Struthio camelus: one gene and its partners. The protein of the gene in region 2 interacts with the protein of the main gene of each other region in a biochemical or structural test. Links are inferred from orthologs where the notes say so. Each region holds a gene or a part of one and is shown on either strand. Other genes may lie near its edges. The genes, in order: GTF2E1, GTF2B, GTF2F2 and NR2F1.

Region 1 (7,756 bases), on a different chromosome or scaffold from region 2:
CACACACCATTAACAAACAGTTCACAGCTGTAGGACAGCTAGGGATGTGGAAGAGTGAGCTTTCTCCGTGTGGTGACAGAGGTGTTAAATTGACTTAGCTGTACTGTGAAGCCCTAGAATATTTTAACAGTGGATATCAGGATATCAGAAACCCATACAATTCACAATGCCATTTAAGTACATACCAGGGGAAGCACAACCACTATTTTGGAGACTTCTCAGCATTGGTCTGCACATAGCAAAGTGCTAGGGTTCTTTAGGTGGGCTTTTTTTTCCTCCCCCCCCCTTCCTTTTTTTTTTTTTGAAGGGAAAAAGATAAAGGTATTCTCAAACATATCAAGCCTAAGTCATGATTTCAGTATAGTTGACTTAACCCACCATCCCTCTTGAAGTTTCTCAGGGGAAGGAAGCAATAATCCTTCTTAGCATCCTGGGTTCAATGAGAACTGGCACATCATGCTTGGTACCAAAGACTATACGCCCAGAAAGAAAGTGTCTGACTTTAAGGAATTCAGGAAAAAAGTAACACAAACAATTAAGGAACGTGTTTGGAAAAGACTTAGCTCATCAGGATATAGCAAGCTAATAACTCTAATGTACCTACTGGGGATGTAAGCGATAAAGAAATAGAAAATTAAGGAATTAGAGAATATCTGATTAGCTTTAATTTCATATAATTTCTCCATTAGAAGAGCCTTAGGCATCCTGTGTGAGAGCGTGCTGTAAATAGTATCTGAAAGGAGATGGAGGGTAGGACTGAAACTCCCATCAGCCCTTGCTGCTGCTGGAAGGGAACTGGTACACTCTCAAGCACATGGCTCTGCCCATTCTCTTGCACCAGTTCTGACACTCACAAGACCCTTCTGCGCTCCAAATTAACCAACTACCATAGCAGAAGAAAATTTTTTTTAAACTAGATTTGTTCTCTGACATTGTAATCAGTTGAATCAGCTAATGGAAAGGTCTGATAAGCAACAGAAACAGCAGATGCAAGAGAATGCCACTGCAGGGGAAGAAATGAGAGGCAACTCCACCTTTCAGAGGTGGAAAAAAAATCTTAAGTTACCTGTATTTCATGGAATTGTATCTTAACTGGGCAATGCTGAACACTTCTTTCATAAGACACACTTTCCTCACGTATCCTGAGCCACTTGAAATGATACCATTAAATGAACCTACTTAACAGCTCACTCCTGTTGTGAGATGCTCACCTGCCCTTCAGGGAACCATCAACCTTGCTAAGCCAAGAGAAGACCAAAGTAAGAAAACCTTGCAGGCCTAGAGAGCTGAACGGCTTCATTGTGGGGGCTCAGACAATGGTCACACTTGACACAGGGGGATGAGGTTAAAGATATCCCCTTTAACAGTAGCAGGCTGTTGTCTCAATACATCCATCTCATTTCACTGCACCCCAGGCCTCTTGCAGTGCTAATTACTCCTTGGAGTCTATAATCCAGCAGCTCCCCTCAAATTACAAGTCACACAGACTTCCTAAAGTATACTAGGCCTTAGCATTGGCCTAAGCTTTTACACCCATGCTAACCAGAGAAGCCCTTATACTATATGCCCAGCTTCCTACCCTCTACACACTTCTGCGTGTTGAGTTTTTAAACGGCCGGCTCTGTAGGTTCCTCTACGACCGGAGACTCGAGGGGCTCAACAGTATCTCATAAAGGGCGGGGGGGGGAGGGGAATACAAGAAAAGAGGCAGCCGCCGGTTTGGGGCCGAGGGCGCTGGGGAGCAGCACGGAGCCCCGCGGGCGGCACCGGCGTGCACCAACCCCACCAACGGCACCTAAAACAGGCGGGGGGGAGGGGGGACCCCGGAGCGGGGGGAGGGGGAGCGAGGCGGGCTCGCCCCCGCCGCCCGGCCACTCCCCGGTGCGCCGCCGCGTGAGCCCTCGCCCGGGACCGCCACCCGCTCCGGGGAGCCGCGGGCGGGCACCGGGGACGGGGCGAGGGCGGCCCGCTGTCGGCCGGGGCCGGGGCCGGGGCCGGCACTGACCTGCCGCCGCCGCTCCGAGCTCTCCCCTCTCCGGGCGGCGCTTCCGGTGACTGCGCGAGGGCGCGTCACAACCGCGCGCACGCCTGTGACGTCACAAGGCGCCAGGCCCCTGCCCAACGGCGCTGCCCGCGGGGCGCATGCGCACTACGACGTGCTGCCCGTGGCCGGGGCAGAAACCGGTACTAAGCCCGCTGAGCGACAAGGGAAAGAGCCAATCACAGAGCTCCAGGGCGTCCTAGTCGCTCGGGTAAGCAGCCAATGGGCTGAGAAAAATGAGGGCAGTGTGAGTTATGATTGGGGGCGTCGGGAGAGGGCGGGACGCTCAGGGGCTGTTGCTAGGTAGAGTAAGATGGCAGCTTTGGACCGGGTCAAGGTGCTGGTGCTAGGCGACTCCGGTGAGTGTCCCTCCCCCTCCCGCACAGTACGCGCGCGCACAGCGAGGGCGGGGGGACGGGACAGTTACACTCCCCCTCCCCCCCAGGCTCCTTCCCAGGGGGAGGGGGCCCCCCTTCCCCGGTGCCGGGGGGCGCGGCCGCTGCTTCCCGCCGCCCTCCCGCCCAGCGCCGCCGCCTCGCCCTGACGAGAAACCGGCCTCGCTCCACCCGCCCGCGGCCCTTCTCCCGGCCCGCCTGCGTCTCCGGAGACGAGCGGTGCCAGCCGAGCTTCGGCGCTTTGCTCCTCCGTTTGCCCCCCCTCGCCCCGGCTCTGTGCCGCGGCCGTTGGGCACTGACCGTTGGCCGTTAACGGGCGCCTGGCGCGGCGGCCTCGGACTCGCCTTCGAGTCAGGAGGGACTGACGGCGGTGCCCTGGCCGCGCGTTGCACAAACGCGGTGGTTCGTTGAGGGCTTCTGTCGGTTATCTCGCCGCCTTTTTAGCTGTTTTTATCCCAGACACGTCCACTGATCGGGTGTTGTTCTCTACATGCGTTTGCAGGTGTTGGGAAGTCTTCACTAGTTCACCTCTTATGCCAAAACCAGGTGTTGGGGAATCCATCTTGGACAGTGGGCTGCTCGGTGGATGTTCGAGTAGGTGATATTCCAGGCGTTTTTTTTTTTTTTTTTTTAAGTACACATAATTTAAAATGCGAAAGAGGAAATCGACCTTGTTTCCCAGTGTTGTGGGCTTTTTGTTACAAGCTCAACTCTCAGCTGGGCTGATTCAGACTTTCATTCTTCTAAGGGATGTAAATGAGCTTGAACTTAAATAAGCTTGAAAGCAAGATTCTTAGATTTTTGGAATTTGATTCCAGTCTTTAGTTAATTTGTTGTTTTCATTACTTTGCCCCACAGAAAGAGGTGTGTTTCAGTGTTTTGTAAAGTTGAAAACTGTTAGAAGAAAAAGTATCAAATATGTGCAGAGCACTTGTGTGAGCAAATTGTGACTTTACAAGATTGCTAACTAAAGAAGCAAAGATTCTTGTCATTCATAGAGCCTCCTTATCGCAGTGACCACTGAAGTGTTATAAGTTGATGAGCAGCCCATTTAAATCAGAGGATACAGAACTTGCACTACGCTTCCCTGAGAAACAGTCAGTGCACAATTAAATTGTCAGCCAAACATTGGAGAACAGAATTGGCTGTTTGTTTGATTTGAGGATTTCTAGCATGACCATGGGATTGCTTCTGTTGCAGTCTACTCATCACGGCGCCTAGTATCGGGGGACTGTGAGTTTACTCATCTGGTAGTTTTTGGCCTACCTGCAGTCCTTTTGGGATAGTGATAAATGCTTCCTTCCTTCCTTGTATGCAACATTCTCCCTAAAATGCTTTGCGGTAGCTTAGGAATGATCCTGTCCTATTGTCTAGGAGTTTTATCTCAAAGAATGCCAAATTATATTCCCAAAATTTTGGGAAAGAAATGTTGCAGTTGTATTTGACTGTGGAGCAAAACTACGCAGCAAATCCTGGGAGGAAAATTGCTATTTGATTAATTCACTTGACATGTCGATGAGAATTTAGGAGTAAAAAGATGTGGTCAGTCTAAATCTGGTGTAGTCAGCCATGCTAATATTCTTAATTATGCAGTATTGTCATGTGATTTTTAACAACTGCGAGAAATCACAACCTCATCTTTTCACCTGCTTTAGCAGCACATTGTGTCCAAGCACTCCATGAGTCATTAGGTTTGCTAGTGTTTAGGAGGAAAGAATGTTCCCTGCTGACTCACCAAGCTTCATCTCTTGTAGGAACTGCAGTGACCGCCGTGGTCGTTGCCTGACTCAATCCAGTCAGTCCTCTTCTACTTGAGAGATTTCAAATGATGTCAGTGTTAGAATTTACGAATTTCTGTCCAAATGCAGTAGTCATTGCAGCTGAATGTTTAAGTGTTGTGTGGATTAACTCCTGCAAGGTAATGCTGTGATTACGTATGGTCTGAATTTTCCATCAGATTCATGACTACAAAGAAGGGACTCCAGAAGAGAAGACCTACTATATTGAGCTGTGGGATGTTGGCGGTTCAGTGGGCAGTGCCACTAGCGTGAAAAGCACACGAGCAGTATTTTATAACTTGCTGAATGGTAAGTTTGCTTGGAGTAAATCTGTTTTTGTCACTTTCTGCTGTAAGCTGTCTCTTGGCTTTGGAGCAGGATTCCTTGAGTCTGGCTGAGGGCTGTGTTGTTCTCTGTACTCATTCCAGTACATTTATACAGGAACGAGTGATACCATTCTTCAGCAGAATTTTATGGACTCAGTTTTGAACTGGAAAACTATTTCAGGCAAGCCTGTGCAAATGAGCTTCATCCAGCATTTTACTTTGTGTCACTATCCCAGCCTTGTGCAACGGGCACGACAGGGGATGTTTGAAGTTGCAGTGGTGTCCCTTCCAGCTATCCTTGTAGATGTGAGAGCTGGTTTCACCTTTCCAGGTCTAATTCAGAGACTTAATTTATGTTTTCCTTGTCTGTTTGGTTCCAAAATCTAAACCAAGGAAAAGTTTACTGCCCATAAAGCACGTACATGAACTTTGATGGTTATGTCCCACCCTGGCAAGTTTGAACAGATCTCCCATAACATTGCAAGAATCTGATGACCGTCTTGCCCTCTGTTCGCTTAATTTGGCAAGTGATTTTTAGTAATTAATTCTTGCAACTTGCTGTTAATAGAAAGATAGATTTTATGCCTTGGAAAATATGGCATCCCTTCTTTTGAAATAGTGACCTGTAGGTCTAGTAGTTCATCTGGAACACAGAAGTAGCGTATAAGATATTATGAATATAGTATTTAAAATGCAGTATCTCATTAGATACTATCTAGATACTAACAGGTACTATCTATTTGACATGCAAGGACAGTTCACTGAAAATAAGAGTATGCTAGGTTAATGACTACTTCAGAAAACTTAGTCCCGGATGTTCTATTTCGATTCTCATTTCTTGGTCATCATCATCTGAGGGCCCTTCATAATTATGATTATTTCCCCTTTCCCAGGAGAAAAATTGTGCGTAGGTGCCTTTTGCTTACATTATACAACAAGACCCCTCTAAGTAAGGCTGAGCTGAATTGTGCCCTCAAAGCAGAGGCCTTAAAGCAAGCTGCTTTGGTGTATAGAAGAAGTGGATTTCTTTTTGGCACCAAATCCACAATATTACAGTTCGTGTTGGTCAGACTTGGAAATATCCTAGAGCAGCACATGAGGAGATGAAGTTTTGAACTTTTGTATCTGACTTCTAATTGATGGAATTATGAAAATTGGGTTGCTTTATTACCACTGCCCGAAAGACATTAGCCAGTTCACATATGAAAATTGTAGTCTCTGGTAGTTAGCCTTGGCTCTAGTTTCTTTCATTAGATACATTTCTTCATTAGAGCTTGTCTCACAAATTGCCTCTCTTTGACCTGATGCGAGAAGAGGAGCGCATTACTTCTGCCTGACTGCTTGTCCTTTCTGGGCTTGCAGTGATCTGAGAAGTCTGAGATCAAAAGACAGTTAATGTTTGGTTATAGCAGCATCTGTGCAGACTGTCAGGGAGACTTGGTTGCTGAGGAGGTGAGGTATCATTCACTTTTGGTATGGCCACAGATCATCAGCTTTCATGAGCCTGCATCTGTTTTGTGCACGGTGATAGTCCGAGACAGTGAACAGGTAGCAAGGCTGTGGTTTTCAGACATTTATGTAGCAGGAACAATAGTCCTTGGTCTTGTCTGCTCTTTATTGATGTTGACACAGTCTTTTCCGCCGGTCCAACTACTTGTGTAGTTTTGAGCGAGGCAAGTAAGGAAACTGACCAACGAAAAGTGTAAATAGGGGAGAGAGGTCGTTATTTAGGTCAAGGATGCCTGAAAGAGGAGGAATTTTCTTGCAAGTTATGCAGCAGTGCCTCTGAATCTGTTGCCATAAGCCAATTTTTTTTGCATCAGGCTTTCTCTCTCTGTACTGGGGGGTGGACGCAAGGTCAAGTTGCTCTTTTTCTGCTAGTACTGAGATAAAGGCTTTGAAAGAGTGATACTGTTGTGACATGTTGGGGGAGGTGCTCGTTTTCTTGTAGAGTTCTCATAGGAGTCTCTGTGCAAAGTAGTGTGGGGTAGTGGAGAATGCGGCTATGTGGTTTGCTCTTAGTGTTTACAGTGGGTGGCATCTTTGGGAGGTAACCGATGAAAGATTAAATGAAATAAATTTTGTACACCTGTGGGCTGTGAAATGTGTATTGAGAACAAATCCCGATAGCGATGAGAGGTATAATTGCATCTTATCCTTGAATAAGTGATGGTTTAAAGTCTGGAGAAAGTGGGAGCATTCCACAGGTGGCAGAAGGTGTGAATAAATAGAAGATATTTGCTAGCAGGAGTTGATAATTGAGTTAGGAACTCTGGTTATCAGAAGTGGGTGTCTGTTAACAGCACAGCTAGAAAGTTTGGCTGGCAATTTTCCTATCTCAGGATTTACATTTTGAAGGCTCACGGTAATGAAAAATGCTAGAAGCTTTTTCTTGACTACATGGAATCGTATTAGCGCGTGTTCTTACCAAGCGTTTGGTGGACTGTGAAAGTTCATCAGAGCCTATTTCCCCTTTGGATACCTCCACAAGTGCATGGCATTAGTTCTTGAAACTGTGGGAAGGTAATAGTGCTCTGTAAACCCTTCAGAACCCACCCAGCCCCAAAACAGCCTTTCTGTTTCTTAGATTGTGTGACAAGAAAAGAGTTGTGTGTTTACCAGCTAGGTAGAACAGTGAAAGGCTGAATTCTCTGCTGTGTTAATACAGAGTTTCAGTATCATTAGGATTACATTATTAGAGGATTAGAACAGAATTGGGGAATGCCTGCCAGCCTGTTGCAAATTAAAACCTAAGATGGATGTTCTGTTCCTCCTTTCCTGGGTTTTTCTTCTTATCCAACTCCTGAGAAGGAGCTTTAAAAAACTGCTGCATTTTCGTATTTTCACCTTAACTCATTCCCTGTAGTTCAACGAGTTATCTTTCCCTGTCTTAGTTCCCAGACGTCTGGGAACCTGCAGGTGCCATTTTGATAGGAAAAGGAAAAACTGTATATCATGAAATAGCATCTTGCTGCCTGCTCTTTTACTTTAGGGATAATTTTAGTGCATGATTTAACCAACAAGAAGTCATCCCAGAATCTGTATCGCTGGTCTTTGGAAGCACTCAACAGAGATGTCGCTCCAACGGGAGTTCTAGTGACAAACGGGTGAGTGAAAAGCATACTTGTGCTCTATGACACAATGATTCTAGGCTGTTTTAGAAGTATTCGGTCTTCCCTAAGCTACTTGAAATCCATAGGAAATTAGAGAGGGCTA
Region 2 (7,976 bases):
ATCACTCAGCATCCTTTGTGTAAACCAGCTCTTTACTGAATTCTTTATTGAAACAAATTGACTACCAATTCTTAAAATAGAAAACACTGAGACATTTGCTAACTTTTATTCTTTGTTAATTCCTAGTAACACCATTGCTGCAAGTATAACATATGCATGTTTTCTCCCTTAGCTTGGTTGGTCTATTGGCCCCCAGCATCTGATAAAGCATTTGCAAGTTGTTCAGCAAAATACACTGTATACTTGCCCAACTCCATTACAGGTAGGTACAGATAGAGCGGAGGAGGTTATTTACATATAGCACCTGGCATAAACCTGTAGGTATTACCATGATAAAATACTGACCATAGCAATGAATTTTGAGTTGTCAAAATACATACTTTGGGGTACTGGAAGAGGACACAAATTTGATCAAACATTTAGAAAAAAGACCAGAGTCTTGCTTCTTCATTCATCCGTAAACTGCTCCTTCTTGCATGAAACGTGACAATACCAGTGGTTTCCTAGCAAATATAAATAAAGGTTAGTGCAATAAGGTTTTGGGTTGCTGAGAATTGTCTCTATCAACTAGATCACAGTTTATTTACTAGTGCTCTGTGATATATTATTATCAATAATTAAAACTAAACTTAGCTCAATTTAGACTGTAAACTCCTGTGGCAAGGACTGTGACTTCTGTGTATGATTAGTGCCTGGCAAATGGTAGGGTGCTTTGGGTGTTACCACAGCACAAAGTAAGCAAACAAATTAGACGTTTGGATGTAGCTTGTCTAATTTCAATATGCTGATTTTCTTAATGAGAGCCAGATCAAGGCAAAATCCACATGATTTCAGTAGGAAGTGCCTGAGTGTCCATGGGTGTACCGAGTGTACATGAGTACTTTGAACATTGTATTTGCAGGAGGCTTTGGCACAAGCTTTTTGGATAGACTATAAACGCATGGATGACCCAGACTGCTATTTTTACTCACTGTCTCGAGAGCTGGAAGGCAAGCGTGATCGGATGGCTCAGCTACTTCGAGAAGTTGGACTGAAGCCTGTCATTCCAGATGGAGGATACTTTATGATTGTTGATGTTTCTACATTAAGTTAGTAAAAGGTTTAGTAAATGGGGGATGGGAAACAAATATTAAGATGAAAATGCAACTCCCATTTTAAACTATGTTCTCATTTCATTTTCTCATAACATTGTCAGAAGTACTAATTGGGACTGAAATTTTCTGTTTGACCTTAGCCTGGAGGTAAATTTTACAAGCTTCAGCAAAACCTTGCAAAGTTTTTGCAAGGTTTCAGGGATGTGCAAATAGGAAAAGTAAAGGAAACAGTAAAAACATTTCTATTTTTGAAAGGTCTTTGATTATGGAAACATTTGCGAGCCAAGTACCTGGCTTAATATCCTGCGTTTGTACCCATTTTCTATTTTTTTTTTTTTCTCCCCTTAAGCTGCAGTCAAATGCTGAGCTATCTTTAACGCATTCTGATTTTTAAACATTGTCAAATCTCACCAACATTTACAGATCTCTCTGGAAATTCAGGCTATGCTACCTCTGGAGGAAGAATTCCATCAGGGTTGTGGATTTTTGTTGGATATCTTTCACTGACTGGTTTTAATGGCACTTGTCATTCACACAGAAACGTTTAAGCAAAGCTGAGCCTCACAGTCCTACCAGGATGTCGGAAAATTATAGATACCCTAGTTTTACAGATAAGAGAACTGCAGCAGTAGCAGTGATTATTGCTGTCCATGTTGTGCAAAAAGGACACACTTCAGTACTCTCCAGACTCCAGGGCCCTTAGTCATCCAGACTTGATGACTTCTTGGGGGATTGCATCGTTCTCTCCCAAGCTACTTCTCTGATTTTGCTTTGCATGGAAAGCGAGTGCTCAGGTCAGAGTGGAAAGATGTACATCTGTTGGCCTGGTTTAATCTTTATAACTTTTTTTAATTATATTTTATAATAAAAGCATACCTCTTTATTCTTAAGTATTAACTGAAGTGCTGTTAGTGAATGCCTTGCCACTGGAGGCTAGGAAGTCTTACAAGATCTTGTTTGTTCTCTGTTTAATTTTTTTAGATGTAGATCTCTCTGATGTGGAGGAGAATCAACCTTATGATTATAAATTTGTCAAATGGATGATAGCATCTAAGGTAAGGTGTCTTTGTCATACTCTGAAGTTTTAGAAATGCTTGTCTACTGGAAGCAAGAGAAGTGTAACTGTACTTATGCAATAATGGAGTAGAAATACTACGTTCAAAATATTATTTGTTATTTATGCTAACTGCTGGAAATGATGTGACTAAAATATTGCTGAATGTACTGAAAATGTACTCTGTAGGTTTGTGTTAAGTCTCAACTTTTGTTCTTTCTGCACGCTTAAATGCTAGTTGTAGACAAGTACCTTTGAACTGTTTTGCCTAAAAAAAGTGATTTGAACTTAGTTAAGCGTAGCTTTGCGTGCAAGATCCAGCCTAGTATTTCACTTGAATGTTGGGAGGGAGAGTTCTAGGAAATTCGATAGTAAAATCGTCATGTGTGAAACTGGTTTTTCATCTGTGTATAATAAATAATATTTCCGTTTTATGCTTCAGAAACTTTCAGCAATTCCTCTTTCAGCATTCTGTGGTCCTCAGACAAAAGTGCAGTTTGAAAAATACATACGTTTTTGCTTCATTAAGGTAAACTTGTGTCCCAGGAAGATTCAAAAAATAAAAATCAATGAATATAAAAATCTGCAACAGGCTACTTATAACATTTTTTTCACAGGATCTCCTGAGTTTTGTGATTTTAGCAGCAGAAAGTTAGCTTGATGTAAAATTAAACACAAAGTAGCTTCAGCTATCTTTTTGCTGAGGGGCTTTAAGTCCTAAATGCGAGTGGCATGGTTAAGAAGGGCAGGTCGAAGAAAACAGCTGGGTGGGTAAGCTTTTTTTTAGCTTATTCTGTTGATTTTTAAAACATTCTTGGCCAGTGGTGACAATGAGAGTGGATGACACAGATATCTCATGCTATCTATTAAGATGAATTCTATAATCCATGGTAAGGAATAATTCCTTTCTATGGCAGACAGGGATACACCATGTGCAGTCAGTTTCAAACAACAAAACAAATCATTAAATAGGTGAGCTTCAAGTTTAGCTCACTTACCTGAACGTACATACAGTTTTAAATGAGCTCCAAATCACAAAGAAAAACAAAGACATAAAAAGGAATCTTCAGTGTTTTTTAAAGGAGGCAGAATTGACAAATTGTAAACTGGCAGACTCTTGTAATTTTGTGAGCACCTCCTCTTCCCATATTCTTCTTCCTCCTGTTACACCCACTTGCTGGGTCTGTTTTTGAAAATACTGAAAAACGTTGGAGGCAGCTACATAAACTTTGGTAGACATACTTCCCTAAAATCTTAGTCTTACTGTTCTGTCATAGAATCGGCATAATGGCACATATGCCAACCCCTTAACTGTTCCATGTACAGATCAGAGCCTTAGCTTGAACCACTGATGAAAGGGAGTTTCTGCTTGTGTTACTTAGTTCTTAAGATGAGGTATAAAGACTATGATATAAACTGAGCCACTAACAACCAGGATGAAACTTGCTCGTTGTGAACGTGGCTTGCTCAGGATGAAGAACGCTAATTGTGCCAAGGTAAAGGCTACTCGTGTGACTAACCGGCTGTAGCCAAGCCACAGAACTGGCCAGTGGATGGATTACCCATATTTAGAGGGATTATGTTTAAGTAGTTCACAGCATAGCTTGGTTGCATGGAAATTTAAAAATCCTAATTGTAAAGATTAGCAAACTATGACTAGCATGCTTCTAATATAGAGCGGTCAAGAACATTAATGCATAAATGCCAGGCATTTATGTAAAAAGTATCCACTTTCATTAAATTTGATAATGTAAATATTGAGAAAAATATGCTCTATTTTTAGCAAATACACCTGAAAAATATTTGCAGGGTATTAACATTGAATTCTTGGTGTTGTCTAGATTTGTAGCTATAAATGTTAATGGAGAACTGACTGTTTGGGATATTTACATGATGCGAACGAAACTGCCAAATATTGATTTCAGATGTTATAATTATGACTGCTACTCTGTTTTCAAGAACTCTTTACTTACAGTAATAGTAGTACTCCTTGTTTTGCAGAAAGACAGCACACTAGATGCAGCTGAAGTCATCCTGAAGAACTGGAATAAAAAGATAGCTTGATTTTTTTTTTTTTTTTTAATCAACTCTTCTGTCTGGTATAATCTTACACTAGGACTTTTTCTTGCAAATTTAAGAACAAATTACTTAGTACAGAATTAATTTGACATTGTAAATAACTTTGTGCTGCCACCTGCTGAGGAGTTAAAACAATGATTTACTCAATGCGTGTAATGCAATTCAGAGCTTATTTTCAGAGGTCTTTTCAAAATGATTGACCTTTTTCCAAAATAATCTACAGGCTCCACCTCTCTCACTGAAAAACAAAGATTTCTGGTACTCTGAGTAAAATGAATACATCATATAGGTATTTTAAGACTTACAAGGAAAAAATGGGAGGTGTTTTTGGTGTGAAGTCGTATAGAAACTAGGGGTAAGACTTAAAACATTGTGGTTTGTGAGACCTAATAGCCAGCAGTGGAGGAGAATTAAGACGTGCCTCAGATTAGATAATTGCAGTGACTTTCTACCTACCTACCTACCTACTCTGTCCATGCATGAATTGTATCAGTTAAATAAAGTGATTGAGTTAAATCAACGCAGTGTTTATATATAGGCAAGTTCTAAATGTGCTGAGCTGCATAATTAGTATTTTATTTTCCCACATTAGTCAAGTTTACTGTTCTGAAGGCATTCGTTCCCCCCCCCCCCCAAAAAAATTTTAAAAGTGGCATCTAGAATACCTATAATATTTATTAAATAGATGAATCTACAAAGCAGAATAAAACACCTTGCCTTAGAGGCTCCTTCACAATCAAACGTACAGTGACATACGTAATCCTGTAATTCCTTTTCCACTTTTTGCATGTTCACAACAACCGTTAGTAACTTCACACCAAACTTACTTCAGTGCTTATTTTCATGCTTGGGGAAGCATGGAGATGGGCCAAATACTGTACTATGGAGCTCAGCTAACTAGGACTATTTCAAGCTTGATGGATAAGGGAGTGTTTCAGAAGAGATCAATGTGGAGAAATCCTTTCTAGTTGCTTCCTCTTTGAGCTGTGTGACCTTTTCATCTCTGGATGGGTTTCCCACTAGCAGAAGCAATCAAGGTAGGTCGCCTTTTAAGGATGTATGTTGTATTCTGTGTTTTTTCATTCTTCCCACAGGCCTTCTGGGGAAAAGTTGGAACAAATTCAATACCTAGTTTTGCAACTGCCTTGCTCATTCTGTAGTCATATAGCTGGAGTCTAATTGAGTTCTATCAGTCTGTGATCGTGGCCAGGGGCTAAAAAAAGTTGTATGGAAACTGGACTGTGATAGCAGCTGTTACGCCTCTGCTGACTAAACATGTCAGTACCTCTTCTTGCCCTTGGACTTCTGGGAGTCCAGTAGCTGGGACTTGTGTTGTCTGTTTAGCTGTCATACACTGCCATCCCCCAAACCTTAACAGAAAAAGGTTGCTTGGTATTTTTCAGGGGTTTGTAGTCTTTGTGTAAAATATCCATTTGGTAATTAAAATGACTTAACTTAAATTCCAGCAGGAATGTCATAGGGAAATTCTTAAATAAATTCCCATAAATTCCAGGAGGAACTATTGTTATAAAACAGTAAAATTCAGTGAAATCTACACTGTATTTTGCACGACCTTTAAAATCTCTTTGTGTAAAGTGCACCGGGGAGTTGTGCTGTTGCAGGAACTAGAGGACACTGTGTCAGTTCGTTGAGCTGAGTGATAATCTGGGCAAGGGAAATGCTTCTGTTGGTGATATGTAAAACAACTGGTTTATTTGGAAATTACTCCACAAATATTCCATTCCAAAAGCCATTTGGAGTAGAATGTCACACTAAGGCACCTGCCACTTTCATTGCAAAGTGAATTCTCATAAAATAAAAAAATCTTTGCTAACATATGTTCAGATATGATAATATGAATCAAAATTTCCTAATGACTTAGCCTCTTAAATAGTACAAAATAATAAAATATTTGTTATTTAGCTTCCTGTCCTTGAAACAAGTGCCTTGCAATGCAATTCAACATTCAACATATAATTTCAACAAAATTCAACATATAATTTTCATCATCATTTTATATGTCAAAAGGGAGTTTTAAATATCGTTGTACCATGCTTGCCTTGATAACAGCTACAAAGCACAATCCACTTAATATTTTTAAAAATTATTATTTAAAATTATTATTTCTGCAGTTTAAGATTTCCCTGAGATAGCGTGTTAGCATGTGAGCATATGTGTAATTGTGTTATGGGTCCTCACAACAGCAGTGAAGTGATAAAAGTTGCTTCCATTCACCTCTCTCTACAGTGTTTTTGTTGCCTTGTAAAGAAGTATCATTGCTTCCTAAAGACTTGTTTCAACACTGACTACTGTTAATACCATGGCTTGTGTTACTGTTGCATTACTGTCATTGGCAAATGGGACACCCTGTGTAAAGTCGGTCTTTGTATGAATATATGCAAGAAAGAAAAGCTATAGGCAAGGTTGCCAAGGAAATTATAAAAATTATAGCAAAATATACCTGTTTTTCCATTGTTACATTCAGTAACAGTAGCATTTTAAATACCTCATTCTTGCATGCTAATAACTCACGTGCTAAAGCACTGAATCTGACAGGGGAGACACAGGGGGCCCAGGTTTAAAGATAGCTCTGCATAGTGTATAATTCCAGAGCCCTGCTGATGTTACGGGACACACTGTATTAGACTTCACTTAGCTTTGATTTCTTTTTGCCTATTTTGTCCAGCTGCTGTAGTGTGCTAATCCTTTTGTTTCATCAGATGTCTGAATACATAAGATGCAGCACAGAGATGAATTAACATACCAAGCATAATTCAGCTGCCTTGGCTATTTATTGTTTCTTTCATTTGCTCCTTTGAGGCGTTTGACTGACATCTGCTATTTTAACAAAATGAATGTTGGCTAAATCAACAAACCATTACAAAGGATCTTTATACATACGAGTAAGAATTGATGACTTGTTTTCATTAGTGTACTCCTCATTGTGTTCATGAAGACATCTGAATATCCCATTGCATTATATTGTTGGAATGATGCTGGTAATATTCATAATGTGAGAACTGCAATTGAACTATCTATTTATCACTGACAGTAGCCAGCATGAGATATTTTGGATGAAATTGTAAAAAGCTCCAGAATGAGCAATTAAAAAATAAGTTTTAAAGTGGGGTTATTGTTGTAACTGTAGTGATGGGAAAGAACAAGTACAGCTAGGCACAGCAAGGTGAACTTTCTGTAAGTTATTAAAATGATGTGTTGTTGACAGAGACGGTTAATAGTGGTATTCCCATCTGCTACATCAACCACTTTTTGGCTGCTTGTGGACAAAGAACTTGGGAAAAATTGCTACAGACAGAGAATAAAGAAATGGTGAGATATGATCTATCATACTTTTTCCAACAGTGCTGAAAATGATTGTCTTTCTGTGCTGGAAATTAAACCCTTTCACTTCTAGTTAATGAGAACAGCGTCGGAAGGGACCGACTGCTGACAGTGATTGTCAGCAGATGATCTGTTTTATAGAATAGATTATATGAGAAGCCAAGACAAACGTGGAAAGCTTCATGGGACTGACAGTGCTGATGTGGCACATCTGTTGCAGATACTGCTACGCACACATTTCAGAGGTTATAGGGAAACTTCTTAATATAGCAAGCTGTATTCACATTGATAGTAACAATTTTTTTTTATTAGCATTTTATCTTTTGGTTTTATTGAGCCTTGTGAAAAAGGGCATTGCAAATGGAAAAAGAGAAGCTTCATCTTCTAATAGTTCAGCTTCCTTTTAT
Region 3 (7,776 bases), on a different chromosome or scaffold from region 2:
GCTAGCTTGGCCACATGTCTGAAGTGCAAGGTCTTAGAACAAGAAGGCAGCTGTAGCTGTCAAGGCGGGAAGGGTCTTTCTAGTGCTTAACTTAATTTCACAAGATGGTATCCAGGAGCCTCCGTCCCTCTGCTCCTCACATGGCCCCTCATGCCAGAAACACACCTTGCTAACTTATCCTCCATGGGGAAGGTGATAAAGCTCAAAGGGTCTGCAAACTCGCTGGCAGCAGAGTGGTGAAATGAAGCCAGGAAGGGCTGGGGCTCCATTTTTGTGTCTCTCAAAGGAAGGGTCTTCTCCTCTGTTGCCATGCACCAGAGTACCAAAATGCTGTCGTTCTTGTTAAAATTCCATGCACGCACTCTGCCTCGTTTATAAGCTGAAATACAAGTTGACACGCACCTGCTTAATATAATTCAGCACTTGCAGTTTTGTGTTATTACAGCTGATTTGTTTGATCAGGCATATGAAAACTGCTTGTCATCTGCTGTTTTACCTGATGGAGAAGGTTTGGGGACATCTGCATAAAGAACTTTATGGATCTCTGTGCTGTATGAGCTCATAGCACACTAATTACCATATGCTCCACTTTATTTCCTTTTGTGCACAGCCTGCCTTGCTTCCCCAGGGAGTTCTCTACACCAAGAAAAATGCAGAGGAATGTAGTCTTCATCAGCATCTCCCATATTTATGAACTGTCATCATCCCATGACTTCTTCATGTCAGGTGGAGAACAAGAACTATGTTGAAGCATCTCGCAACTAATATCACGAGCAAGGAGCTGGCTTCAGCTCCAGGCCTAACTGGAGGTCAAGAGCCAGATCGCACTCAGTGTCTCTTGCCCAAGCCTGATGCTGTCAGCCCCCACAGCTGGCCGTACCAACCAAGGAGATCATCTGAAGCTGGCAACAGGGACGTGGAGCTCTTGAGTCAAGAGCAGCTGAAGGAGACCGAGGCCACATGTCCCCTCAAGGCTGACATACCCCTCGCTTGCCACATTTCTTGTGGTGCTGTCCAAGAACATCTCCTTCACCAGCTTCTCTGCTGTCTTGTTCTTTCCTACAGGGCCTCTAGACAGGCACTGCTCAGAAAGGAACATCTGTTGGCCAGAAATTCTATTTATTGAAATCTGGTTTCACTGGCAGGGAGAGGCTGCTTGTAAGCCAGGCAGCAGGTGTGTTGCATGAAGCCCTGCTGTGCTGGTACCATCCTTCGGACAAGCCGGGCAGCATTTGCCCGCATATCCAGGTCTCTGTCCTTCCCGCAGGAGCCAGTGAGTCAGGGAATGGTGACAGTATGCATGCGACTGACATCCCCAGCAGGCACCCAGAGAGTGGCCACCAAACGCACATGGACCTGGGAGCTACAGATAACGCCTAGGTGTCACGGCAAAAATCAGGTTTCCCCCACAAAAGACATGGCCTGGTGGTTATAGCACTCTTGTGCAATTCCCTTTCCCACTAGGTCTTTTTTTTAATCTCTGGACACTCCGTCCTATTCCTGAGAAGCACTTTCAGCTAAAACTGTCTGGCGGTGTCCTCGTCTGACAGCTTGGGTGGGACCAGCGCCCGCTCCAGGGAGCATCTGCCCTGCTCTGGGCTTCAAGGGAAGCACATGCACAAAAATGACAAAACTCCCATCGACCTCAACAGGACAATATCAGGCCTTTCATGCCTCTGTTTTTTTTTTTTTTTTTTTTTTTTTTGTGGTGCTTTTAAATCAGAGCTGGCAGTTTGCAGCTATTGGGCAGTTCCTAAAACTGTTTAAGAGAAACTGTCTGCACCTGCTGACTGCGTTGCAGCCTCTTGGTCTCACCTCCTTGAGTGAATAAAGGAGAGAGGAAGGCTCTGCAAGGCTAAATCTTGCCATCTATGTCCTCCAACCTCACACCTCCTTCCATGCCAACAAGACCAAAACTGGTGACTGACACGCAGTTCCACCTCTCGGCAACTGGCCCCCGGATCCTCAGCCACAGCGCTAAACATCTCAGTGGCAAACATGAGGTTCCGATTTCAGATGAGGAACTAATGAAAACCCTCCTTTCCTTCTTGTTGTCCCTTTAAATTTAGTTTCCAAGGAAACAGGTCTGGCAAGGCTGCCTGGAGGGAGTAGCAGAGAAGGAAATCTCTGCCTCGCTGCTCTCCGCTCCGGTTTGCCAGCTGAGCCACTGAAATTGCCAGGCTTTTAGGGATGTTTTCTCTATTGTGATTTATGCCTTGGATAAGACTGCTGATTTCTCATAGAACAACTTCTCTAGCAAGTCACGAACTGGTTAGTTACGTTGCCTTTATGTGCAATTGCGCCCCTGGTAAGCTGCATTCCTCTTCTTTCATTGCCGGTCTTCCGGTGTGAAGGTGACGTGCGCTGAACCAACCAGCCGTGACACTGCGTTATTGGAAATGTCACTTGTGCTGGAAAAATTCACTCCACCTCTTTTTTTCTTTTTTTTCAAGTGGTGGCAAGTGTGCCCTGAGCATGCAGATTGAGCTAAAACTCGGAGCAGAGGGATAACTTTGTCGTTAATGCACTGTTTATCCTAGGGACAAATCGCATCAGGTCCAATTCTGCCATGTGCTGAGTGCCTCATTTCTGCTAGATCCATCATCGAGTTGTTTTGTGGCAGGGTAGGGAATGGCACATAGGCTGAAGGCTGGCATGAGAGGACGTGGATGGGGCATGCAGAAACCTCTTTAATTACCTAGATGTTTGCCTATAATTAGAAAGCAAGACTATCATACCCAAGACGTAATACTGAGACTGTTTTCTGCAAGCCACATGAGATAGATCTTGCGTGTCGTACCATAACTATTCTCTACTTGATGCTGGTGTACTCTCAGACAGAGTATGAGCTTTGTTACTGTGCACCACACTTCAAGAAAGATGTAAACTAGTACTGGAGAAAATTCAGAAAGCAATGGGAACGACTGGAGGTCTAGAAAATATGACCTAGGAGACCAAATGGAATGAATTAGGTTTGTTCAGTGCAGCGGGGAGAAACCACAGGGACACATAGCAGTAAAGGGCAACTGCAAAGAGAAAGGTAATAAAATGCTTTCCACACACGCAGTGAGCAGAACAAGAAATTATGAGCTTAAACTGCAACAAGGGAAAATTAGTTTAGAGATTTGGAAAACTTCCCTAATGATAGGAACAGAATCATAAAATAGGGCTAAAAGGGATATACAGAGACTATCTAAGTCCATTAGCCTTGTCTCGAAGCAGAGCCAGCTGCACTGGGCAGATGCTTTTTTTACCCTGACTTAAGACATTTTCACAGGGTATGAGACTCCATTCCCTGCTCAGGCAACCTATTCCAATGCTTTGCTGCTCACTGAAGTAAGTGTCCTTTTGCAGAAGTCTAGGCCTAATACTCCACTTTTTATCCACAGCAGATATGGCGAACAAACTTCCCTCTTCCCTTTTCATCTGTCCTTTTTCCATATGTGAAGGTTATTAACATGTTCTTCCCCCCCTTTTCCCCCGCCACCGTTAGGCTGCGGTGTCCTATTATGAAGCATCTGGTCTCAACCCAGGCTTAAGCTACCGATGCCTTTTTCCTCTTGCCCGGCCCTGTCCCATCAGTTGTGCCAATGCACGGTATGCATCGCAAAACCCCAGAAAGGGAAGCAAGTGGTAGCCAGGGGAGTTGGACAGGACCTCCTCCATCTGCATAGGATGAGAGAATAGTCACAAAAATGATCATTTTGAATGCTAACGCTGCTCTCCACCCTGCTGCGATAACCCCTCCCCGGCCTCATGTTATCTACAGGTCTAATAAGCATCCTCCAGTGTATCATTTCATCATTCAAGTCAAAAATGAAATTGCCCAACAAAGTTAGACCGAGGATAGCACCACACATATATTGTTTCTTTTTGATAGTCATCTATTAATAACTTCTCCCGCTGCACGGTCTTTCCGAGTAGCTTTTCATCAATCGATAGCAGCTTCATCTAGACCGATTTCTCCAGATAGCTTCTCAAAATGTCACAGGGTTTAATATCAGAAGTCTGACTTTGGTGGAGACGTTCGACATCTGTCACTTCACCCCGTCACGGAAGGAAATCAGACTGGTATGACATGTTGCTCTTCACCAGTCCATCTTAACCGCTTCTCGTCTCTGTTTTCTTCTAGGTCCTTTCAAATAATTTCTCTCATTATTTGAGAGATCTAATATTTTTCCAGAAACCGAAGCCACGTGTGCAGGTCTGTGACCGTCCCTTCCCCCTGTTTTAAAGCCCGGGGCTGCGCTTGCCCGCCCACCCACCCTCCTGGGCGACTGCAATTGCTCTCGATGGCAGATTTCATGAGCCAGGACCACCTTCGGTGGGACAGGACGATCTGAAACCACGCAGCTTTATCTCAGCTTAGTACCTTATTTTTTAATTACCGCAACTGCTAACGGGGTTGCTGTCCTGTTCCAGGTAACCTGCTGCAGTTTTTAAGCAGTTCAGCTTTGTCAGAGGCATGTTCAGACAGTTTTATTCCTCGGCTCATGGGAGAGCCACCAGCTTCCTCGGTCACGTTTGTACCACAAACGCGGGGAATCATTTTCCTTCGCTCTGACCATCACTTCTTGTCCCTCGTTTGCCCACTTCCTTTACGGCCTTGGCCTTTCCCGTTTTGCCCCCCCTCCCCGCGACATTTTCACACTCGGCCTAGGAGCCCCCCCGCACGGCCGCCGGCCCGGGGACTCGAACCCGCGGCTCCGCCAAGCGCGGAGCCGGAGTCCCGCCCCCCTCTGCGCTTGACGCCACGCCGGGCGGAGGAAGTTGGTCCGCCGCGAGCCACCGTCTGCGCGCGGCGCGGTGCGGTTCCCATCTGCGTCCGGCGGGGGACGGTGGCCCCGCAGCGCGGGAGCAGGAAGGCGCCTCCCCGCTCGTTCCGCGCGCGCACCCGTTTCCCTTCCCGTCGCTGCCCGGCGCCGCTCCGGTCGGCGGGGACTGCCCGGGCCGCCGCCGCCATGAGCGAGAAGGGCGAGCTGGACCTGACCGGGGCCAAGCAGAACACCGGCATGTGGCTGGTGAAGGTGAGAGGCCGCCGGCGCACCCCCGGCCCCGCGCGGCCTGTGGCGGCCGGGCCCTGCCCTGCCCTCCCCGGCCGGGCCGGGCCGGGCGGCAGCGGGGCCTCGGGCCCGCGGCGGGGGTTGAGGGGTCCCGGGGAAGCGGCGGGAGCGAGCCGGGGCGCCGCGCGGGCGCTGCGTGTTTGGGGCTCGGCCGCCTCGTTGGGGAGAGGGTTGGGGTGGCGGGGACTCAGCAAGAGAGCGCTTCCCAGGTGGGTGCTGAGGTGAATTAAGGAAAAGCAGGTGACCTAAGAACTGCCTTTTAGTTTTATTAAGGATCATAAGTAAGGTGCTCTAACTTTTATTTTCCCTCAGATCTATGAAATTGAGAACTTCCAAGTTTATATCCTGGCTAAAAACCAAAGGGAACTTTTCTGTGTTCTTTATGTTGCTCCTGTCACTACAGCCCACCTTTGAGGAGAGAAGCTTTAGCAGAGTCAGTGGGAAAGGGAAGAGAGCGCTGGCGTAAAGATCATCGAATCAAAACAAGCACCTTTTGAGCAGCAGGGCCAGTTTTGTGTGTGCTGACACTAAGTAGGCCATCACTTCCTAGGCATCAGCCTTATTTTCTGGAAGGTCCATCTGTCTAAATCACTTGACTGTTTTTGCCGACAGCAAGCTAGCATTGGCTCAGGAAAGAGGAGGCTCGCTAGCCACTGGGGGAGTATGTGCCCTGGCCTCCTTCTGGTCCTTTGTAGGGGTACCCCCATTTTTCTGGACCAGCATTTGGGAAGAAATGGTAACATCCTTCTCTTCTGCCTTTGGGGACCACTTGAGCAGGCCCAGAACAGCATGAGAGAACCCATGGAGACAGGGGAGGACCAAAATATTGGTTCTGGGTGGTGGGAAGGGTGTGACAGCATCTTTCTTCAACTACCAAAACCTGTTATTGTGGCTCTTGAAAAAATAGTGGGGAATTTCAGAAGTCCTGCAATGCAAAGCAAGTGTGGTGGTGGTGGTGCATCTGGTAGGTCAGTGCATCTGGCTTCCTCTTTCATAGTGATACCTGAATGTCTGGTTTTGTGAAACTCTGCACCCAGAACAATAAAAATGAAAACTGATAGCAGAAAGCTGCAGAAGTATATCATGATCGAGAGTGGCTGGTTGATGAAAGGGCAGATGAAATTTAAAGCTGAAAAAAGTAAAATGATATGCATAGAGAAAAATTATTTTAATTATTATACTTGCACAGTGGCTGGGTTTCATCTGCTTATTGTCATTCAGAAAGGAGATCTTGGGTTTACAATAGATAAAGATAGTTCTGCGACTGTCATGTCAGTGGCAGTCAAATAAGCAAATTCAACATTGGGCATTATTAGGAAAGAAAGACAACAAAACAGAACATATTATTTTAGCCTTATATAGCATGAATACAGTATACGGTTCCGTTCTTATCCTCCGCATTGTGAAAAATATATGGTAGAACTAGAAAAGGTACAGAGGAGGGCAACAAGAATGATCAGAGACACGAGGAATCGTGCCTCTGCAAAGACCTCCTAAATATGCTAATCCAGGCTGGAAAGATGAGGGATCTGGAAGTCTGATAGAGGTCTATAAAGTCAGGAGTTGCAAGGAGAAGGTGAATAGAGAAGAATCAATCTTAACACAAGAATTAGGAATGTGTCAAATTAGGGATGCATTAGGTGGGGGTTCAACGCAAGCATTTTTGCACAATACATAATTAAGTTTGGGAACTTGTTGCAGTAGGGTGCGTGAACATCAAAACTTTGCACAGGCTCAGAAAACCATTAGGCCGACTTATGCAAGAAAAGGGTACTGAGATATTAAAAGTGGAGATGTTCCCATTCCTCAAGAAGTGCTGAGGCAAAACCCGCAGAAATTGGAAGAGCGTAGTGGGGAAATACCTGTTCTTCTCTTGTTTTCCTGCTCTTCCTGAAGTGTCTGCTGTTGGCCACGTTGGAGACAGGGTACTGAACTTGATTATCTATTAGTCTGGCATGGGTTAGTCATTTTTGAAGCGAGCCAGGAGTTTTCAGGCATGTCTGTGCTTATAGGGGATATCGTTCTGTGAGCACAGGATGCTGCCTAGTTTAATGAGAAAGCTGGGCTAGCAAGAACCCTTAAATATTTATTGTTCTTCCAAGTTGATGTCTAATATTCTTTCAACATAACCATGCATGCACATGGTCTGAATTTACAATTTGGCTGTCTTCTGGCATATTTAAAAAAAAAAGAAATTCCAAAGTCAATACCGTTGGTAGACCATAGGAAGGTGCATGCAGGTTTTTGTCCTTTGGATTCCTCTGGATCTAAACTTGGAAGCAACGGTACTTTTTCTCTTCACTAGTTAGGATAACTAGGCTGAATTTATCCTTGCTTTGAGGGAGAAAGCAATAACATCTACTCCAAAAAAAAAAGCTTATTTAATTTCCTTTTAGCCTGTATTATGCTAGCCCAGGAAGTACTCCAGAGAGACTACTTAACAGACAATAAAAAACCATAGTGATGAGTAGTTTGGGAGCATGAGCAGTACGAGGAAGTACAAGAGATAGGGTGAGTCTCTTTTGTACAAAACTAGAAAGCAACTTGAATAGTTTTTTTTCTGTATTTTCAGGGAAAACTAGGGTAGGGAAATATTATCAGAATTCTTAGTTATACACGTGTGTGTAAAGTAAAGCCTACTTAACATTAGCCACACTCTGAACTGTTAATTTCTTATTCTTATGTTTTCTTCTGATTTAATCTGCTGCATTGA
Region 4 (7,012 bases), on a different chromosome or scaffold from region 2:
CTCTCTCTCTCTCTCTCTGCCTCTCTCTCCCTCTCTCTCTGTGTCTTGCTCTGCCTCTTTTACTCCCTGTCTCTTCACAGTCTGGGGAGTAAAATCTAGATGATATACATACGGAGCTCGCTTTTTTGTCTGATTTAATCTTATTCGTTTCACCTTCTCACTGACCAAGAGACAGGACCGAGAGTTTATTTGGGAAGAAGGAGAGAGAGGAAAGGAGCCTACTGTTGCATAGTCAATAACATCCTTTTTATCAATGCAATATACAATAGAGACCGCTTGGCCAAGGGGCTCATTGAAAATCTCTTCATTATTTCAGGACAAAATCAAGCGTTTAGTCTGATCTCAGAAATGATGAAGGATTCTCCTTTCCAGCCGGCTCTCAGTCTCAGATTTCAGAGCTGACACAAAAATAAAATTGTGATCATGATACGTCAAAGTTGAGGGCTTTTTTTTTTTAATGAAAGCAACATCTCTTTACAAAAAAAATAACAACAAAACTTTTGTCATATATTTCATCCCCTTTCCCCCTGCAGTTTTTTCCCCCGGCTTCCAATCTGATTATAAACTTTTATGGGAGCTAAGAGGAGGGTAATCTCCCTCATCTCTCTCTCTCTCTCTCTTTTTCTTTGCAGTTTTTTTCTTCTTTATCACAAACAGTCTTCTGACCCAAAGCGAATTTTAAACCTCTCGCAGAAAGGGGGAGGTTTCAGGGAAGGAAGGCTTGTGAGAAAGGAGGCTAGGAGAGGTACGCAACTAGAAAGAAGGGGGTTCTTTTCCCCAGTGCAGTCACTTAAAAAAAAAAGGAAGAAGAAGAAGAAAAAAGAAAAAAAGAAGGGGGGATAAAAAGCCATAAAAAGATTTTGTGGCTTCCTACTGCTTCAGAAAAGGCAGAGGCTTTGTGCGCGGCGGAGGAGGGGGAGCGGGAGCCGGTGGCTGCGGCGGGCGCAGCGGCTCGGCTGGGTGCCTGTCCGCTAGATGGCAGCCGGATCCAGCGATTCCGCTGCGCCACGCCGCCACCGCCGCGCCGGGGCCGCGCCGGGCGGAGCGGGGCGCGCAGCGCGGCGCAGCGCGGCCCCGGCGCGGCGCGGCGCGGCGCAGCACGGCGGAGGGGGCGCCGTGCCCGCCCGCCCGCCCCCCGCTCCCGCCCCTCCGCCGCGCCGCGTCGCGCCGGCCTGCGCGGGCGCGCAACCCCCGCCGCCGGGGACTGCGCTTCACCGGCATCGATCCGCGCAGGCGGCGCGCGCAGAACTTACTTTTGGGCTTTTATTACTCGCCGGCGGGGCTCTCCTGGCGGCCAGCCGCGCTCTGTAAGAGGAGACACGGGCGTGACACGGGGGGGCACGGCGGGCACAGGCATTCGGGTTTGGTCCGGCCGCTTCCCTCCCCCACCTCACCCCCCACCCCCAAAAATGCTTTTCCCCGAGCAAAGACGGGTGTTGATTTCTGATCCCATTTCATGACACTGTGAACCCCACCGGGGCCATGGGCAGTATAATAAAAGGAGGGTGGACATATTCGGTGAGGAATGAGAGCAAGACAGACCAGCAGCAAAAATAGCCCAAAGTGGGACAGGAGTATATGCAGATGTAAATATGTACGTGAATGTGTCTGTGCACACGCACACGCACACGCACATACACATATACCCCTTCCTGCATAAAGCATATTTTCTTCTCCATCATTAAAATCCCTCGCCTGGTTTTTGCAATTGAAAACAGACACAGAAATCCCATTTTAAAATATGAAAAACTTTTCACGGGGAGCCCAAATCGTTCCCTTTTAATTCCCCTCTCCGCCTATCGCAATGCATCCTCCTCTTTTGATGTGTGTGCATGGGTGTGTGAGAGCGAGCGAGCGAGCGAGGGAGACCATAGACGACCCATACTAATCAGGTCTCAAAGTAAATAGCAGCGCAGGGCGATCTCAATGTAAATTGTGCTTGTCAGAAGAATCCCCTCTCCCTCCCTCCCTCCCTCGCTCCCCCTCTCCCTCCCTCACTCCCCCCCCTCTCCTCCCCTCCCTTCCCCATCCCAGTCAGTAGGTAGCAGAGAATTATAAAAAAAAAAAAAAAAAGACCGGGGGGGGGGTAACCAATGGAGTGAAGGAGGCTTGGCTAACCTTAGCCTCCCATTTTCTCTCCCCCCAATTCAGGGCTCTGACCAGTCAGTCGCCTTTGATTATCAGTTGCCAGCAGCCCTTCTCTTGGCTCCTTGACATGAGCTCCATATAAGGCAGCGATCTCCATAGAAACGTGTCAGTTTCAATAGTAGTGTCAAAGTTCACTATATACAGACATTCGCGCAGATCCCCCTTTCGGAAACATTGCTCTGCTAGGCTTCCCGTTTAAACGCATTCATTTTTTGGGTCTCTCTCTCTCTCTCTCTCTCTCTCTCTCTCCCTCTCTCTCTCTCTCTCCCTCTCTCTCTCGCTCTCTCTCCTTTCTTGCATATTCTATTAGTTGTTTTTTTTCCCTTCATCTCCCTCTTCTCCTTCCTTTTCTTCTTTTTTCCACCCTTCCTCCTTGTGTCTTTCGCTTCATTCCTGCAGGAGAAGAGAAGAAGAGAGAGGTGAAACTAAAAAAAAAAAGAAAGAAAGAAAAGGAGAAAAAAAGCAGAAAGAGAGAGAGAGACAGGGGGAAAAAAAGCCCGGAGAGAGAGAGAGAGAACGCGTTCACATCTTAATACCATTATTATTTTGACCGTTCTTGTCTATTTTTTTATTTTGGGGGAGGGTTTTGCTTCTGGCTGATGAGTTTTTACCCGAAATACTTTTTTTAGACAAACAAACAAAAAAAAAGAACCTTTTTTGGGGCGATTTCCACTGATTTTTTTGCAACCAGCATCGTGTGTTCTCACAGAAGAAGAAGGAAGGGACAAGAAAGAGGAAAAGAAGAGGATTTATTTATTCGACCTACTTTGGATCTCTCTTTTTCCTGCGTGTGTCATTATTATTCCCATTCTCTATTTTTACACTTCGCCGTGAATTCGTCTCCTCTGCGAATTTAGTCACATCCGATATTTTTTTTTGTATTTTTTTCTTTAAAAAAAAAAAAGGCAAGAGAGACAGAGAGCGAGAGAGAGAGAGAGAGCGCGAGAGAAAGAGAAGCGACCGGCAACCTCCTCCACCACCACCGCCACCAACACAAAATCAAACTGTCTCATCTCCCAGCCCGCCTCGACCGCGCTCCCCGGCACTGCCGCCCTGAATGGCTGACGGCGCCCTGCCCTGGACCTGGCCCCCGGACACCTCCATGCCCTGATCGCCGGCAGCCGGCTCCTCTCCGTGCCTCCAGCGCCCGCCTCGCCAGCCCGGCGCCCCGAGAGCCCGCAGCGGCGGCGGCGGCGGCAGCGGCGGCGGCGGCGGCGGCGGCGGCGGGAGCCTCCGCGGCAGCAGCGGCGGCGGCGGCCGGGCCCCGGCGGCGAGCGGCGGCGAGCGGCGGCCCCGACCTCCTCCTCTTCCTCCTCCTCCTCCTCCGCGCTCCGGCTTCCTCTATGTCTGCACATCCTCTGCACTCCTAGCGCTCGGACCGCGTGTGCGTGTGCGTGTGTGTGTGTGTGTGTGCGCGCCGCGCGGGTGTGTGTGTGTGTGTGTGTGTCCGGTGTGTTACTCTCCTGAATGCCTCTCCCGACAGCCTTATTTGCCGTTTCTGATTTTGCAACTTGAAGTGGTGGTGGTGGGGGGGGGAGGGAAAGAAGAAGAGGAGAGAGCGAGAGCGAGACGGGGGGAAATAGCCAGACGGGGGTATTTTAAGAGGGGGGGGAGCGCGAAAAAAGCCCTCCATCTCCCCCTCCCCCTCCCTAAAAAAATTAGCCAGCGAGCGAGCGAGAGGAGGGGGGCTCGCGGAAAAAATAAATAAAATAAAGAAAACGGCAGGAGCGGCCCCGGCAGGCAGCGGCGGCGGCACAAGGGCAGCGGCGGCGGCGGCGGCGGCGGCGGCGGCAGCCGAGGCGGCGGCAGGCGGCAGGCACGGTCCCCTCGCTCCCCGCTCGCCCCCGGCGCCCGGCCGCCCGCCTCCCCCCCGCCCCCCGCCTCTCTCCCCGGCAGCCCGCAGCGAGAAGCGCCGCTCCCCAGCACTTTTTTGGGCCCGAGATATGGCAATGGTAGTTAGCAGCTGGCGAGATCCGCAGGAAGACGTGGCCGGGGGCACCCCGAGCGGCCCCAACCCCGCAGCGCAGCCGGCCCGGGAGCAGCCGCCCCAGCAGCAAGGGGGCTCGGCCGCCCCGCACACCCCGCAGACCCCCAGCCAGCCGGGACCCCCCTCCACGCCGGGCACGGCCGGGGACAAGGGCCCGGGCCAGCAGGGCTCGGGCCAGAGCCAGCAGCACATCGAGTGCGTGGTGTGCGGGGACAAATCCAGCGGCAAGCACTACGGCCAGTTCACCTGCGAGGGCTGCAAAAGTTTCTTCAAGAGGAGCGTCCGCAGGAACTTAACTTACACATGCCGTGCCAACAGGAACTGTCCCATCGACCAGCACCACCGCAACCAGTGCCAGTACTGCCGCCTCAAGAAGTGCCTCAAAGTGGGCATGAGGCGGGAAGGTGAATATTTCTTCCCTACTATACTATCGCTCTCTCTCCCTATGGCTATATGTGTGTGTGTGTGTGTGTGTGTGTGTATGTGCGAGTGTGTGAGAGTGAGTGTGTGAGTGTGTGTGTGTGTGTGTATACGTACACACACACAAGCACATATATATACATATATATATACACACACACACACACACACATATATATATTTTTACAGCTCTCCGTGGCGATCTAGGTCTCTCTCTGTATTTACATGCACATGTCAATCTCTCCCTGTGCCTGCACTCCATCTGGCAGCTTTGCACCAGGTTTTGTTGTTATTGTTGATGGTGGTTGGTGGTGTTTTCTTTTGCTTTTTGGTTTGTGCCTCCTGCCCTCCTCCTGCTCCTCCCCACCCCCTTCCCCAGCACCGCCACACTCTTCCCTTCCCTGCTCATTGTGCTGAGAATTTATTATTATGATCGCTCACTAAATATTTATCATTTAGCCGCTATCTCCGTGTGTGTGTGTGTGTGTGTGTGTGTGTGTGTGGATGTGGTTTTGTCTATTGTTGGCATGAGACTGGGGGGGGAGGTGGGGGGAGATGCATCTCTGTACGAGATGTGCTCCCATTCAGCTTCCTTCCCCCCCTCCCGCCCCATCATTTCTCTTTAAACCCACAACACTTCTCGGTAGATCCATTCCCAGCCTCATCTTTCCCGAAAGAAAGATGAAAGACGTGTAAGTAGGAAAGAAAAAAAAAGAGGGGGAAATGTGCTACTGTATCTCTGCTTCCCTGTGCTTCCCAGTGCCCTGGAGTGTGCTTCTGTGTGAGATTTGGCCTTGTTTTCACTCCATGCGTTCAAAGGAAAGTTTGTGACTGAACCGGGTTTCTGTACTTCTGTCATTTTTTTAGCACGCTGCTCATTTTATTTCTTCATCAAACTCCACCCTCTCCTTAAAGCCTGCATACAAATTGCGATTTATAACCTATTTACCGATCCTTCTCATTTTAGCAGAATTCATAGTCCGCATCTGGCAGTGGGCTCCTCACCATTTCCAAGTGCTCCTTTATTTATTTATTTTTCTTCTCCTTTCTAAGAGTTGCTGCGGTTTTCCTCGCATTAAGGCTTATTTTCGCGTAGGAAGATTTCCTGCCCTCTTTTCTCCTCGAAAAGTATTTCTCGGTTTACAGTTAAAGTTTATCCTGTGACTATCGTTAAAGATATCTTAGAGTCACAGCGACCTAGTCGATTTTGCGGAGTGGGGATTACTACTGCCTTAATTGGTTTTAAAATTATATTTTATATGCCACAAGAAAAGAAATGGAGTTGCTCCAGATCTGAAAGAGCTCACAAATATGACGACTTCATTGGTAGCTTCAGGGGTTGTTGGTAGGCGTCTGGAAAAAAAAAACCACCACCAACAAACTTAGAATTGTGCTTGCAGTTAATTGAAAAATAACTGCCAAGTTTAAAAGCAGATTCAAGAGGCAGAGGTGGGCTGGAGGGCAGAAAGAGGAAGGTGCAGCCCGCGAGACGTGGAGGGCTCGGTGGGGAACATACGTGCTCTGCTACGCTGGAATAAAAGAGAAAGTTGAGAAAATGTGGCATGCTGGAAAGATGAATTATCTGTGTGCCTGTGTGTGTGTGTGTGTGTGTATGCATGTGTGTACGTGTGTGTGTGTGTGTGTGTGTATATAGAAATAAGCCTGAGTAGCCGTATCTTCTCCTTAAGTTACCTTTGTTTACATGGCATGTGGTTTAAAACGCTGGCACTGATGAAGTGAAACACACACACACACACACATACACACACACACACACACACACACACACACACACACACACACACTAAAAAAAACTTTGGTCAGCTTTCGGGACTCGAGGCATGCTTACGCTCTGTGTGGAGATGGTTAATGAATCCAGTGTTTTTGCAGTTGCAAGCTTGTGCATTCACTGTGCAACGCTGACTGCAGGCTTTTGCAGTGGCAACAGCGCACCAAAGATATTAATTACACCGTCCCCTTTTTTTTCCACGAATGTTTGGCTATTGTAAGTTCGGACCTTTTTGTTTTATTTTCCCCCTTCCCTTGACAATATTTAATCTTTCTCTTCCTTTTAGCAGGGCGAACTTTGCTGGGCGGGGGAGGGGGGTCCTGTATGGAAAGCTTGTTCTGTGTAATAAAGTTAGCAGTGGGAAGCTGGGGGGCTGTGACCTGGTCTAGTTTTAAGGGTAATGATGTGATATTTTTGAAGAATATGGACGCATTTATTTTTTATGATTTGAAAAAGGAAAGAAAAGCAACGCAGCAGTTCACTTGTAAATCTCAGTGCTACCAGGGCAATCGGCTGGAATACACAACAGAGCTTGGCTATATTTTTAACAGCTGGCTGTGATTTTTAACCCCACTTTCTTACCACCCGGAGGATTTCTTTGATTTTATTTTTTTATGTGCGGGGTTGCCTTTTGTTGCGAGAGGGGAGGGGGCCGGGGGGCGGATTTG

The links.
Region 1: the proteins of GTF2B (region 2) and GTF2E1 form a complex in vitro, tested with the Homo sapiens proteins (2 studies listed by BioGRID). The link is inferred for Struthio camelus from reciprocal best matches to the Homo sapiens genes GTF2B and GTF2E1.
Region 3: the proteins of GTF2B (region 2) and GTF2F2 form a complex in vitro, tested with the Homo sapiens proteins (2 studies listed by BioGRID and IntAct). The link is inferred for Struthio camelus from reciprocal best matches to the Homo sapiens genes GTF2B and GTF2F2.
Region 4: the proteins of GTF2B (region 2) and NR2F1 form a complex in vitro, tested with the Homo sapiens proteins (2 studies listed by BioGRID and IntAct). The link is inferred for Struthio camelus from reciprocal best matches to the Homo sapiens genes GTF2B and NR2F1.

Annotation. Positions count from the first base shown.
Region 1 is NC_090942.1:92,867,733-92,875,488, forward strand, and holds the start of GTF2E1 (general transcription factor IIE subunit 1), read right to left. Parts: upstream 2,939-7,756; 5' UTR 2,737-2,938; intron 2,401-2,736; coding exon of another isoform or gene 2,355-2,400; exon of another isoform or gene 2,280-2,354; intron 2,117-2,279; exon of another isoform or gene 2,006-2,116; intron 1-2,005. Other genes in the region: RABL3 (rab-like protein 3), read left to right, coding at 2,355-2,400, 2,939-3,030, 4,394-4,523, 7,533-7,647.
Region 2 is NC_090949.1:19,992,605-20,000,580, forward strand, and holds the start of GTF2B (transcription initiation factor IIB), read left to right. Parts: upstream 1-4,976; 5' UTR 4,977-5,234; coding exon of another isoform or gene 5,235-5,264; intron 5,265-6,947; 5' UTR 6,948-7,082; coding exon 7,083-7,130; intron 7,131-7,453; coding exon 7,454-7,557; intron 7,558-7,976. Other genes in the region: KYAT3 (kynurenine--oxoglutarate transaminase 3), read left to right, coding at 173-262, 902-1,088, 2,076-2,149, 2,591-2,677, 4,150-4,212. UniProt on the Homo sapiens protein: General transcription factor that plays a role in transcription initiation by RNA polymerase II (Pol II). Involved in the pre-initiation complex (PIC) formation and Pol II recruitment at promoter DNA.
Region 3 is NC_090942.1:190,907,470-190,915,245, forward strand, and holds the start of GTF2F2 (general transcription factor IIF subunit 2), read left to right. Parts: upstream 1-4,759; 5' UTR 4,760-4,961; coding exon 4,962-5,027; intron 5,028-7,776. UniProt on the Homo sapiens protein: TFIIF is a general transcription initiation factor that binds to RNA polymerase II and helps to recruit it to the initiation complex in collaboration with TFIIB.
Region 4 is NC_090982.1:54,170,512-54,177,523, reverse strand, and holds the start of NR2F1 (COUP transcription factor 1), read left to right. Parts: upstream 1-4,012; 5' UTR 4,013-4,091; coding exon 4,092-4,539; intron 4,540-7,012. UniProt on the Homo sapiens protein: Coup (chicken ovalbumin upstream promoter) transcription factor binds to the ovalbumin promoter and, in conjunction with another protein (S300-II) stimulates initiation of transcription. Binds to both direct repeats and palindromes of the 5'-AGGTCA-3' motif.